Linked DNA regions of Saccharomyces cerevisiae S288C. The gene in region 2 interacts genetically with the main gene of each other region. Each region holds a gene or a part of one and is shown on either strand. Other genes may lie near its edges.

The links. Genes that interact genetically often act in the same process or in processes that back each other up.
Region 1: mutations in YHR140W (region 2) and BSP1 together harm fitness more than expected from each alone (negative genetic interaction), as found in Saccharomyces cerevisiae (2 studies listed by BioGRID).

The regions. Positions count from the first base shown.
Region 1 is NC_001148.4:879,412-886,058, reverse strand, and holds BSP1 (Bsp1p), read right to left. Parts: upstream 2,232-6,647; coding exon 501-2,231; downstream 1-500. Other genes in the region: YPR172W (pyridoxal 5'-phosphate synthase), read right to left, coding at 1-263; YPR170W-B (uncharacterized protein), read right to left, coding at 2,464-2,572, 2,672-2,820; JIP5 (Jip5p), read right to left, coding at 5,891-6,647. UniProt on the Saccharomyces cerevisiae protein: Recruits the capping protein complex to actin patches and the actomyosin contractile ring, and/or stabilizes their interaction. May serve as an adapter to link INP52 and INP53 to the cortical actin cytoskeleton. Binds F-actin.
Region 2 is NC_001140.6:376,539-381,984, forward strand, and holds YHR140W (uncharacterized protein), read left to right. Parts: upstream 1-4,033; coding exon 4,034-4,753; downstream 4,754-5,446. Other genes in the region: ARO9 (aromatic-amino-acid:2-oxoglutarate transaminase), read left to right, coding at 1-712; YHR138C (uncharacterized protein), read right to left, coding at 817-1,161; SPS100 (Sps100p), read right to left, coding at 1,681-2,661; YHR139C-A (uncharacterized protein), read right to left, coding at 3,570-3,881.

The sequences.
Region 1 (6,647 bases), on a different chromosome or scaffold from region 2:
GCGATGATCCAATCGTGAAACAACAGGGCGACCTTAGGGTTCTCCTTGATGTTGTAAAACTTTTGTGTGTCCTGAGGAGAAACAAATATAATGTAGTCATTCTTATTATCTGTTTGACCGAACAGTTTTTCACCTGGCACATAGATATAGTTCATCAATGCCACTGAAGGGATGCAGTCTTTAGAACAGGTGGCCACGTGAACATATTTGGAGTTTTTGATCAGGTTCAGTAGATGCGCTGGTAATGTACTAGTCCAAGCCATAATTGAGATGTTTCAGGGTTTGAATAGCCTGTAATTTTACTGCTATTTTCTAATAAGGGAGGAAAAGTGTAGCAAAAAGATCGATGATTTATATTCCTTCAGGTTCATAAGGGGAGCAAATGTCAAAGCGCAAACGTGGGAAGTGACGATAATACATGTATCCCATTAAATTATCATATTATTGTTACATCATATGTACGTACATACATGTGTAAAATACGGAGGTCTACTCTGTAGTTACACGCGTGTTGGAAGTTTTCTTCTGGGACCACGAGTCCTATTTTTATTCGGGTGAACTAATGGTTTAGTTTCCTTCACTGTTTCATCTCTAGAAGTAGTATACTTGTCAGAAGTTGCAATATTAGTGTTAACACCGCTAAGTTCTGGTAGAGTATTAGATGCTCTTAAGTTTCTAGAGGCAATTATTGCGTCTAATTTTGCGTTTATGCTCAGTTCGTTTGAGGACTCTAAAACAGGCTCGGTTTTAGATTTTTTCATCAATTCGACTTTTCGCAATGCCTCTGGCAAAGAAATTTTACGTTGTGGCGCCGTTGGTGGCCGTTTCTTCAGGTTATTCCGCAATGATAGAGCTTCAATTTCGTCATTTAACTTGTTAATATCATCACCATTTTTGAGTGTAGTATTTTTCGAATTATTTGTTAGAAATGATTTTTTCTGAGGGATTGCAGGCTTCTGCTGTTTGGTTTTCTTCAGATTTTGTATACCTTTTATTGCTTCTGGAATACTGTCCTCCTCTTCTTTTTTAATGTTACGGTTGCTGGATCGTAACTTGGGCAAATCGATTGAGTTTTCGAAGTTCTGCTTTGTTGGAGAAGTTTCTACGGGACGTAGCTCAGGTAATACTATATTCAACTCCACTTTCTTTGGCGGTATGCTTGGTTTGGTCTTATGGGCGGCCAAATTTGCATTCCGTAGCTTTTGAGGTTTTTCAGGCAAAGAAGGCTTGGAAGTTGTCGTGAGATTCGAGTTTAGCATAGACTTGATAAAACTTTCAGATCTTGGAATTCTTTTCGCAGGTGGAGAAGGAGGGGTTGGTTTAGGTTTATTTTTCATTGTAGGAGATAAGGTGGTTGGTTTTAGTTGTATGGAATCCAAGTAATCGATATGAGAACTTTTTACAGTTGTTTTGGGAGTTTCCATTTCCGAATTATAACTCTTCGCCTTTGTCAATTTGTTATCTTCCAAAGAACTTAAAAAGCTCGCCGGTTTTGTAGAGCGTGAGACAGGTGGAGCAGGCTTAACGCGCTCAGGTACCACAGCATCCGGTTTTATTGACCTTGATGACGGACTTTCTGTAACTTCTGCTTTGTTAGGCCTTGTTGGAAGAAGCGGTTTCTCTTCATTCCCATCTGTGATTTTGATATGATCACGCCTTGTGGGCAAAGGCGGTGGTGATGAAGAAGAGGAGGAGGAGGGTATATCGGCTCTTCCTGGTAATTCAAAATCATATTGGATGGTGATTATTTCCTTCTCTCTCGGTCTGGGTCGACCCCGACTGGGCATACGAGGACCTTTTTCAAAGGAAGGCAAATTTTTGTCAGCATTGGAATCATTATATGTTTGAGAGGCTTTCAATTTCTGCAATAATAAATAATCTTCTTCAGAAATTAAAAATTTTTTTTCTTTTTGAGAGGCACTTCCCTCCAAATCCGGCCTTGGCGTTATTCGTTCGAGATTCAGCTCACTTAATGAGTAATGAGTCTTCTTTGGAGAAAACGTCATTTCATAATTGTACGCAGATCGGTAGGCCAAATTGTCGCAACCTTCCACATTTTTCCCTGTCATCATATCAGCCCTTCTGTATTCCCCAGAGTTGTGACTTCTAACTGGTGAAAGCGCTTCCCCCGCTGGTTTTGAACTAGGAATATTACTGTATCTCTTAGAGTTCAAATCCTCCACTTTCGATAGAAAGTTCACCAATTCAGGGTCACGCTCATATTTTGTCATACTTCCGAAACTTCGAAAAGCTAGGAAAAGCTGGTTACTGTGACTTTTATTGATTAGAATTCATATATAAATGTATATATTTATACTATATATTCTTTCATAATATTTCACTCAATTCGCTATTGTCGAAAAGTGTAATAAAAAAGAATGTCACATGGAACGAGGTTACGATAAGTATATAGAACAGTTGGACGATATTAATGCATTTGGTATTATCCTATTGGCTTCAAGACTAACGCAACTCGATCGAAGGTTTTCTTCTGGCTAGGTAAACTTGGAACCCACAGAATACGAAAAACACGAGGTATACCAAGGCAGCCAAATAAACAGTATGTGCAACACTATAAACAATAGGGTTAAAATATAATTGTTAGTAAGGAGGAGAGATATAAGAGATGGTAAATGGGTAACGGCGAAATAAATAAGAAAATATAACATACGCAGGTCCATCTTCAGGATCGTTTATTGATCCTACAAAGGATTCATGGTTTGTGTTGAAGAGATGAGCAATGACGGAAAGAATTACTACACCAAATGCCGATAGGACGGTACAACACCATGCCTTACCAGTGGATACAACGGGTCTCATTTTTTTTGCGGTGTTTGCTTCTAGCTTTGTCCTTTATCGTAGAGGTTCTTGCTTTGAAAGCTACCTATTCTTTTCTTTTCCCTTAAGCTATTTTTCAAATAATAGAAAAAAGAGTCGCGTGCAAAGCGATAAGCAATTTTTTTCAGTCTTTAAAAAAAATGATCCTGAACAGCAGCATCTTTATTATGCAGCGTTGATGCAGTTTCTAACTCAATTAGTTGAATCACCTACGCTCTTCTGTGTTTGCACTCAGTAGTATTGTGGTGTTCTTTTCGATATTCTCAGATACCGTTTATTGTGCGCCATACCGATGGATGCAGAAATATCATTTAAATAGTTAAGCCAGGAAGTGGCTGAGACATATTATCAATATTTCGGCACGTAAAGCTAGGCGGCTTTACTGAACATCAGCACCTTGAATTTCATGTTGCCTTGTATGTACAAACTAAACCCTTACTCAGTAATAAAAACTAAAATGTGTCTTCTAGTTATGAATGCTCTTAGTATAACTCTCATGAAGCAGTCAAGTCACTTTCATGTATTTTATAATACGAGGCGAATGTCTAGGCTAAGTTAAAAAACTAGATATAGAAACCATTCCCGAAATATCATATAATTATAATATCCTGGACACTTTACTTATCTAGCGTATGTTATTACTCGATAAGTGCTAAAGGAGGTGCACGCATTATGGAGACCACTACGATACGATAGCTGCGTTGTTGTTGAAGGGGTTTCTTAAGGTTGTTTTCGTTGAAGGTAAATATTGGTCGTTTTTGTGCAGCATATTGTCCTCTAGATGCAAACTCTGCAGGTCCATTTGCAGTAAAGTGAGTTGCCTCTCGAAGAATCATTAATTTCGTATAACCGTCACTATTAAAGTCAGAAAATAAATTCTGTCGTAGACAATGTTACCATAATGTTCTTGTCCATTTTGCATACACTTTAAATATTCATTTGATTTCTCAGGGTTCATGATCATAATAAATTGCGCATTCGCAAGGCGGTAGTATTATAATGGGGTCCATCATTCTGTAGCAAGAAGTTACAGTACGCTGTTCAAGCGTTAAACAAGATAAGTAATCTCGAATGAAACATTCATATTTCGCATGAGCCAACATACAGTTGCTGAGTAATCTTCATTGCGCTTATTTATCGGCATTGAGATTGTAAAGGAAGTAAAACGCATTTTTGCAGATCTGTTCTCTTATGTATTTTTAATCGTCCTTGTATGGAAGTATCAAAGGGGACGTTCTTCACCTCCTTGGAATGTGTTCCACTATCCTGTACATGTGAAATGTATAAAAGCCAAAATTGACCTTGTCATTACCAATGAATGCTGTTTTTGCAGAAATAACGAGATATCTGCAATAAAAGCAAAAGTAAGTTTGATAGCAAGAGGTTGTTGTGTTGAAATGAGTGGTAATGAATCGTAATATGAGTTGCTATGGTAACAATTTAAATGCACCCATTGTATATGTTTTAGTGTGAAGGTACCTATTGCAAAAGGAAACGTTAAAAGAGTAGCTCAGACAGTGCTGAAGCAGAGATAAGGTTATATTAATTGAGCATGATACGTTTGTTATACGAGTTGCTACATTAAGTGTTATGGTAATTACCAGACGCATTGTTATATTGATCATAATTAATGTTGAACCAATCGGCGTATATTTTATGCCCCTCTTATACGATTATATTAAGATCCATATTCAACCTTCATTAATACTGCCTTTTTGCCATTAATTATCAATATTTTAGAATATATCTCTCCAATACAGCGTTACCAATATGGTATGCCGAGTCTTGGGTTGCCAAACTAAGAGGCCATGGAATATATTTGAATGTTTGTGATTTGGCTTCATTGTAACATGTAAGTGAACATCAAAAGAGTAGGCATTAAAAGATGGGACGTCAGCACTGTACTTGTTTTTGCGACTAGATTGTAAATCATTCTTTATTTAATCTCTTTCTTTAACTACTGCTTAAAGTATAATTTGGTCCGTAGTTTAATAACTATACTAAGCGTAACAATGCATACTGACATTATAAGCCTGAACATTACGAGTTTAAGTTGTATGTAGGCGTTCTGTAAGAGGTTACTGCGTAAATTATCAACGAATGCATTGGTGTATTTGCGAAAGCTACTTCTTTTAACAAGTATTTACATAAGAATAATGGTGATCTGCTCAACTGATTTGGTGATAACTCTAACTTTTTTAGCAACAATTTAAAAGATAATTCGAACATATATAACAGTAGGAAGAATTTGTGTACGTCAAATTAAGATAATTTAGCATTACCAAAGTTATTAACCTAAACATAAAATATATATGAGACACATGTGGAAATCGTATGAAACAACTGTTATGAAACTGACAAGAATGAATATATAGAGTAAGCTCCGCTTGTAAAGAGGAATCACTTAAGTGTATAAATGTCTCGACGATTACTTTAGATCCAAGATTGATGATTGATATTACTCTGTAATACTTAAGCTCTTTTAATAGCTCACTGTTGTATTACGGGCTCGAGTAATACCGGAGTGTCTTGACAATCCTAATATAAACAGTCTTAGGGAAGTAACCAGTTGTCAAAACTGTTTATCAGCTTGATTCACGGGATGTTACTTATCCTATATATTATATAAAATATGAATCATACTAAATGGTGGAAGCGCGGAAACTCGGATCTAAACTAATTGTTCAGGCATTTATACGTTTGAGTTGTTCAGCTAGGGGAGGCCGGGTTTTACCTCATGTTGTTCGTTTTGTTATAAAGTTGTTTCATATGTGTTTTATGAACGTTTAGGATGAAGTATTGTCATACTGACGTATCCCATTTTGAGATACAACATCTTTAACAATATAATGGTCTCTTGGCCCAGTTGGTTAAGGCACCGTGCTAATAACGCGGGGATCAGCGGTTCGATCCCGCTAGAGACCATTTCTTTTCTCTTTCTTTTTCTCGAAAGAGACAGTTCAACTTATTTTTTTTGGGAGCACTAGGTTAATAATCCTATTTATTTCTGAATATAAATGATATATGTTTTTCTTAGTAAAAAAGAAATAATCTATAAATCATCAAACTTCTTGATCCCATGCTCATACAGGTCCTTTTTTTTGTTGTTCTCCTTCATTATTTTTCTTTTTTTGACAGATTTTGAGTTGGATTCTTTTTCCTCTTGATGATCTTCCTTGAGGTCCTTATCTAATTCGTCTAATAGCTCTTCCTTTGAGAGCCCGACAAGCGTCGTTTCATCATCAGAACTAGTGTCATCACTTAGATCCTCATCAGAGTGGGAGAGGGGTTCGTCGCTATCGGACTCTACCGATGCATTTTCCTCTACATCATCACTCGATAATTCCCATATCTTGATGTTTTCCAAACCACCAGAAACAACACGGTATTCAAAATCTAGATCAACAAAACTGACTTCATCCAATTCACTGTGGTTTCTTATCTCGACGACTTTTCCCAATTTGGCATTTACTTTATAAATGTTACCATTGGAACAACCACACCATACACAGTTATCATCTTGTAAAGTAGGAACAATGCAATCGATACTTTCATCTTTGCTAATTTTAATACGGCTCATTTGATCTTCCAAATCATTCTTATTCGGTTTCCAGACGGTAACAATACCCTCGCCCATCCCACACAAAAGGGTATCTGCTACTTCGGGATCGACGAAACAACCACAAAGAACTTCGTCCTCCTGATCATCGCTGATCAAAATTTTACCATCCTCGTTTCCAGCTACGTTCGGTTTGGCATCTTTGTCGCGAACGTCAAAATAAGCTAACGTTGTCTGGCCCAAAGAAATG
Region 2 (5,446 bases):
AGAAAACCCTTACCATTCTAGCGACCTGACTACTGAACGGTATTTGAATGATTTTTTAATGAAATCATTCTTGACTTTGGATACAGATGCCCGTGTCATCCGTTTGGAGACTTTTTCTAAAATTTTTGCTCCTGGATTAAGGTTATCCTTCATCGTTGCTAATAAATTCCTTTTGCAAAAAATCTTGGATTTGGCCGACATTACTACAAGGGCCCCCAGTGGTACCTCACAAGCTATTGTTTATTCTACAATAAAGGCAATGGCTGAGTCCAACTTATCGTCCTCTCTTTCTATGAAAGAAGCAATGTTTGAGGGTTGGATAAGATGGATAATGCAGATTGCTTCTAAATACAATCATAGGAAAAATCTTACTTTGAAAGCCTTATACGAAACAGAATCTTACCAAGCTGGTCAGTTTACCGTTATGGAACCCTCCGCGGGTATGTTCATCATTATTAAAATCAATTGGGGGAATTTCGATAGACCTGACGATTTGCCGCAACAGATGGATATTTTAGATAAGTTCTTGCTGAAGAATGGTGTTAAAGTAGTGCTTGGTTATAAAATGGCTGTTTGCCCAAATTATTCAAAGCAGAATTCAGATTTTCTAAGACTCACCATCGCCTATGCAAGGGATGATGATCAGTTGATTGAAGCTTCCAAAAGAATCGGTAGTGGCATAAAAGAATTTTTTGACAACTATAAAAGTTGAACAGTGAAGATTAAACCTATGTGTTATTTGCATATCATATATAAATTGTAGTTTTTTGTATAAAAGTTGGGAAAAAGTTATAGTCGCGTATATTTTAAATTACTCTAAGCAACTAAATGGTCACGGTTTAGAGCATGAACTTCTGAATCCTTTTCCAAATTGCATTTAGCACCGTACTCGCTTTCAATATAGCTCAAACGTTCTTTCAGACCGTCCAAAATTTGGTCGCTATCAGGTAAGTCCACTGTAAAGCCCTTTATCAAGCTATATTCGTGTGTTATTTTACCCCCTATGTCCACCACATATTTTTTGACATCTTCAATAATGCTATTCTGGTCCGTAGCCATATTATCCGTCTTGGGGAAAGTTACGATGTATGATGATAAGGAAGATGCCTGTGCCATGGAGAATATGCTAATGAAAATCAAAACTAAGTAACTGGCCTTCATATATATGCTATAGTCTGTTACACAATAGATTTAAATGTTGTAATATAACGAGGAAACGCAACTTATCCATTTGTTCTCTCCATCGCATCGCTTTTTCTTAAATACTTTTGCCCCCCACCCCTTTATCCACTTGCGTTTTCCTCTTTTCTTCGCCTCTTTTTGGTAGCGCCGACCGATCTAATCGGAATAATCAAATTTAATAGGAACTGAATATTAGAAATTATTGAAGTCAATATACTGTAAAAACTATAAATCCTGTAACGAACATAAAAAAAGAAAACATAAAGGAAGCGCGTGATGTATCAGTAACATCACATAGTACAATAAAAAAGAAAGAGAACACTGATAATAACTGTACTGAAGACAAACAATTAGGAAAGTAACGACGATCTTTCTTTCGTCCAGTCATCATAACAATATGTGTTTTTGTTTTTGTTTTTGTTTTTGTTTTTGTTTTTGTTTTTGTTTTTATTTTATTTATTTTTTGCTTATTTTCGTAGTACACAACACATAATCATCTTATTGTTGACTAACAGGGAAGATTTGTTGTAACTCGCTACTACTTGTGACTTGATTATGGATAGCAATAGACAACAAAGTTTGCGCTTGGATTGGTGACAAGTACCCAGCAGAAATTGCACCTTGTGGAATACTTGTGTTACTTATGAACCCAATTCCTGAACCATCATGACCACTGGATCCATCACTTGCATAAACGACAGGGAAGTCGACCGATGTCCATGATGCCACGGTACTGTTGTGACTTGTACCAGAGCTGACAACAACCAAACCTTGGATACTAGAACTTAGTGATTGAATTAAGCTTTGAGAATATCCTTCTTCGTATATAATTGGAACCAATGGACTGGAGGATGATGAGGATGTATTGGTCCCGGAGGAGGCATTAGAAGATATTTGTGCGCTCGTAAAATTCGAGTATTGAGTTCTGATTGTGGAGTTGCTGGCAATCAGAGTTGGCTCACAGGCATCAAAGAACCATTGAACATTCTTCTGACCAGACAAAACGCCCACAGGAACAGTGTAAGGAGGGAAAACACCAGAATACACAACTTTATCTCTACCGGCAACCAAAGTGCCTCTACCTTCCGCGTCCGAACTACTCAATATTGGTACACCCCATAAGAAATTCTCAGTAATGACAATGGTCTTTGATGTATTAAAAACGATTGAGCAGAAGAAACTCAAAGTTTCAATGGAACGCCAGTTTGTGACGATTATAATGCCGGAAGACGATTCGCTTTGTAAAGTCTGATTAACTTGAGTAGCAATTTGGTAAAGTTGAGTGATGTTTAAGGTGGAAGTAGAGTTGAATAGCGTTGTGGTAGTAACGTTTGACTGGCTACCAGATACAGCAGGTCCACCCGTGATGATCACGGGGACCGTACCGCCGCCAGAAGTAACGTTCTGCCTCTTGTAAAGTGGTGTTGCAGAAGCTGTTAAAGTTGCAAGAAAAAATGCTAGCACTGATGTGAATTTCATAATAGCTGATTGGGTTCTTAGATGTGAAAACTGATCGAAATCAAATACTAGAGCATGATTGATAGGAACAAGAGAAACCAAAAGTGTTTTTAGCTTTCCTCCCAATTTTTATAGTATTCTAATGAGTAACGTCTTAGGGGAATTTTCAACAAGGCATTTCTAAAAGGGGATGCTAGTTGCACATTCTGAGAGAATCATTTGTACACGTTTTTCCCTATTTTCTGCTCATAAACCGAGGATCATCAGCGTTAAATGTAATTGCTAAGCCAAGAACTTTTGCTACTCTAACATTACATATTTGAAGGGTACAGTGAGATTCCCCAACAGGAATTCGCTTCTGTACATCAGCCGGTATTCGCTGAGAACTACTGTAGCCCTTAACTGTTGAATGATCTTTTTCTGGTAGATCATCGGCTTCTTTTGACGCAGGAAAAGGCCCGTGTCACTTCGGCTTAGCTTCTTTCGGCGATTTTCAAGGGAAGCGTCTGCACCTTAACGCAGACAAATGACGCATGATATGCACCCTTAAGGCGGACTTGATCTTCAGATCCCTCAAATGGTAAATGTGCCATAAGGTGGCCAAATTCCAACTAAAAATGATAAATAGGTAATGAATTGTTCACTATGCAGCGTTGCCACCGTTACGCCTCCCCCTTATTTTTCATTTCCGTTTCCATCCAGTTTTTCAGCCTCCTTGAACCCTACCATTAGTAATGGAAGCAATAATCTCATAGCAGCAATTGAAAAAAAAAAAGCATATTCGCTCACATTAAAATAATGAGATAACATGAGATGGCTTGGAATTATAAGCGTTCGCTGACCTGAAAAAGGCGCGGGGCTAATGGACCCATTCGTTAAAATGACCTTAAGCATCCACACATGCAGAATAAAAGAACTTAACCTATTCCTTAGGAAAGTTTATGTATTTGCTGGTACCCTCTTCCTTCTTTGGCCTCTTTTCTGACGTGAATGTCACATGTTAACATTTTTGTCAAATAGCGTCCATCTATTTGAACAAATGCTATCATTTTTGGGGATACAAATTCTATAAGAGGTTCCTGTTTGCAGCATCTAAAAACAGAGCGTGAAACGCATGCAGAAGTGACATATAATCCTTTGTTTAAGCGACAATTAAAAATAATGATCGCTCTCTTTTCCTTTTCAGACTTGCTCATTAAATTTGACAAGATCCGCGGATTAGAGAAGTCTGCGCTTCGCATTTAATGAAAAGATCTCCGATAAGTATATAAGTCCCTTTTTTCTCGAATTATATAAGTCACTTTCTATATGTCAGTGATTATCTCTACACTAGTCTTGCTGTATTCTTAGCAAATTTTTCTCGTATTTTAAAACCATAATACAAGGAGAATCCATGATGTCTTGTCTGGTACCAACACGTTTTACTTTGACCCTTAACACCGCGTGTCTTTTGACGAGCACCTGGGGGTTTGTTAGGGCCACATCTGTAGTCTTACCTCCAAGTTTAAGTAAAGCAGGCCATAAACAGTTTCTAACCATTATATCTATTATTGCAACAATCATTAATAACGCGGTTAACATTTCTAATTATTATATCCAAAGAAACAATAAGATGAATCTAGAAACCAAGAAAAAATCAGACTTTATTAGTAGACATGTCACTTTGCCAGTTTCTTTAGTATTAGAATCTATTGTTGCTACCGTTTATTGGCCGCTTAGATTGTTTTTTGTCAACTTAATAATGCATGGAGTTGAATCTACTGCAAAGACACCTTTTCCTATGACAGTGGATATGGCAATCCACTTATATCCTATTTTATATTTACTAGCCGATCACTACTTATCGGGATCTGGCACGAAATTCAAATTATCGAATAAGCATGCATGGCTCATTGTAACCAGTTTAGCATTTTCATATTTTCAATATTTAGCATTCCTGATAGATGCGGGGCAAGGCCAAGCCTATCCATACCCGTTTCTAGACGTGAACGAGCCGTACAAGTCGATTATATTTGTTGTTGTTGCTACTATTACGTGGGCTTATTATGTATTTTATCAAAAGTTTCCGCCAAAATACATCAAGAAGTCGGCAAAGAAAGGTGATAAGAATTAGCATTACTACTAGTATACTACTATTTAAGCTCTTTGTATGTAAAGTGAGCAAATCTCAAATTTTGCTACTTAATTCTTATTTTCGTGCTAGCCCTACAACGGAACCCAAAAAATCAATCACCAGGGTAAGCGGGAAAAAAAAAAAGTGTAGGAACCGCACTATAAAAAGTCGAAGGTTTGTATTAATTTTCCACACCTCTTTAGTTTTGTTATAATCAAATTCCTTTTGGTTTTTGTTTTAAAAAGGCCAACATCATAATTATATCGCGAATGTACTACTAGTATATGCAGTTTTCTTAAAATTGCAGGGAATGACTAAAAGCCCACGTTTTTCCCACTTTTAGTAGTACTGAAGCGTAGATAGATTGAACGTTGCTGGGCGCCTGGTGTTGATCATTTCTGAAATGAGATATTGGGAATCAGCTGTATCTACATTTTATTTATACATATTTATTTTTACTGGTTCTTAGTAACGTACTTTAGTAGCAATGCTGTGTTTTAGTGCGAACGCCTACGTGTCTTGTTAACTTATCATGGTTGCCAACGCGAACGTTTACAACAGGTTCAAAGGCAGGATGAAAAATTACGCCAAATAGGCAGGTTTTCAATATTAAAGAGTTAAGTATGCAAAATTTACAAAAAGTTAATGGTCAAAGTATAACTATAAAAATATAATAAAACAATAAACAATAAC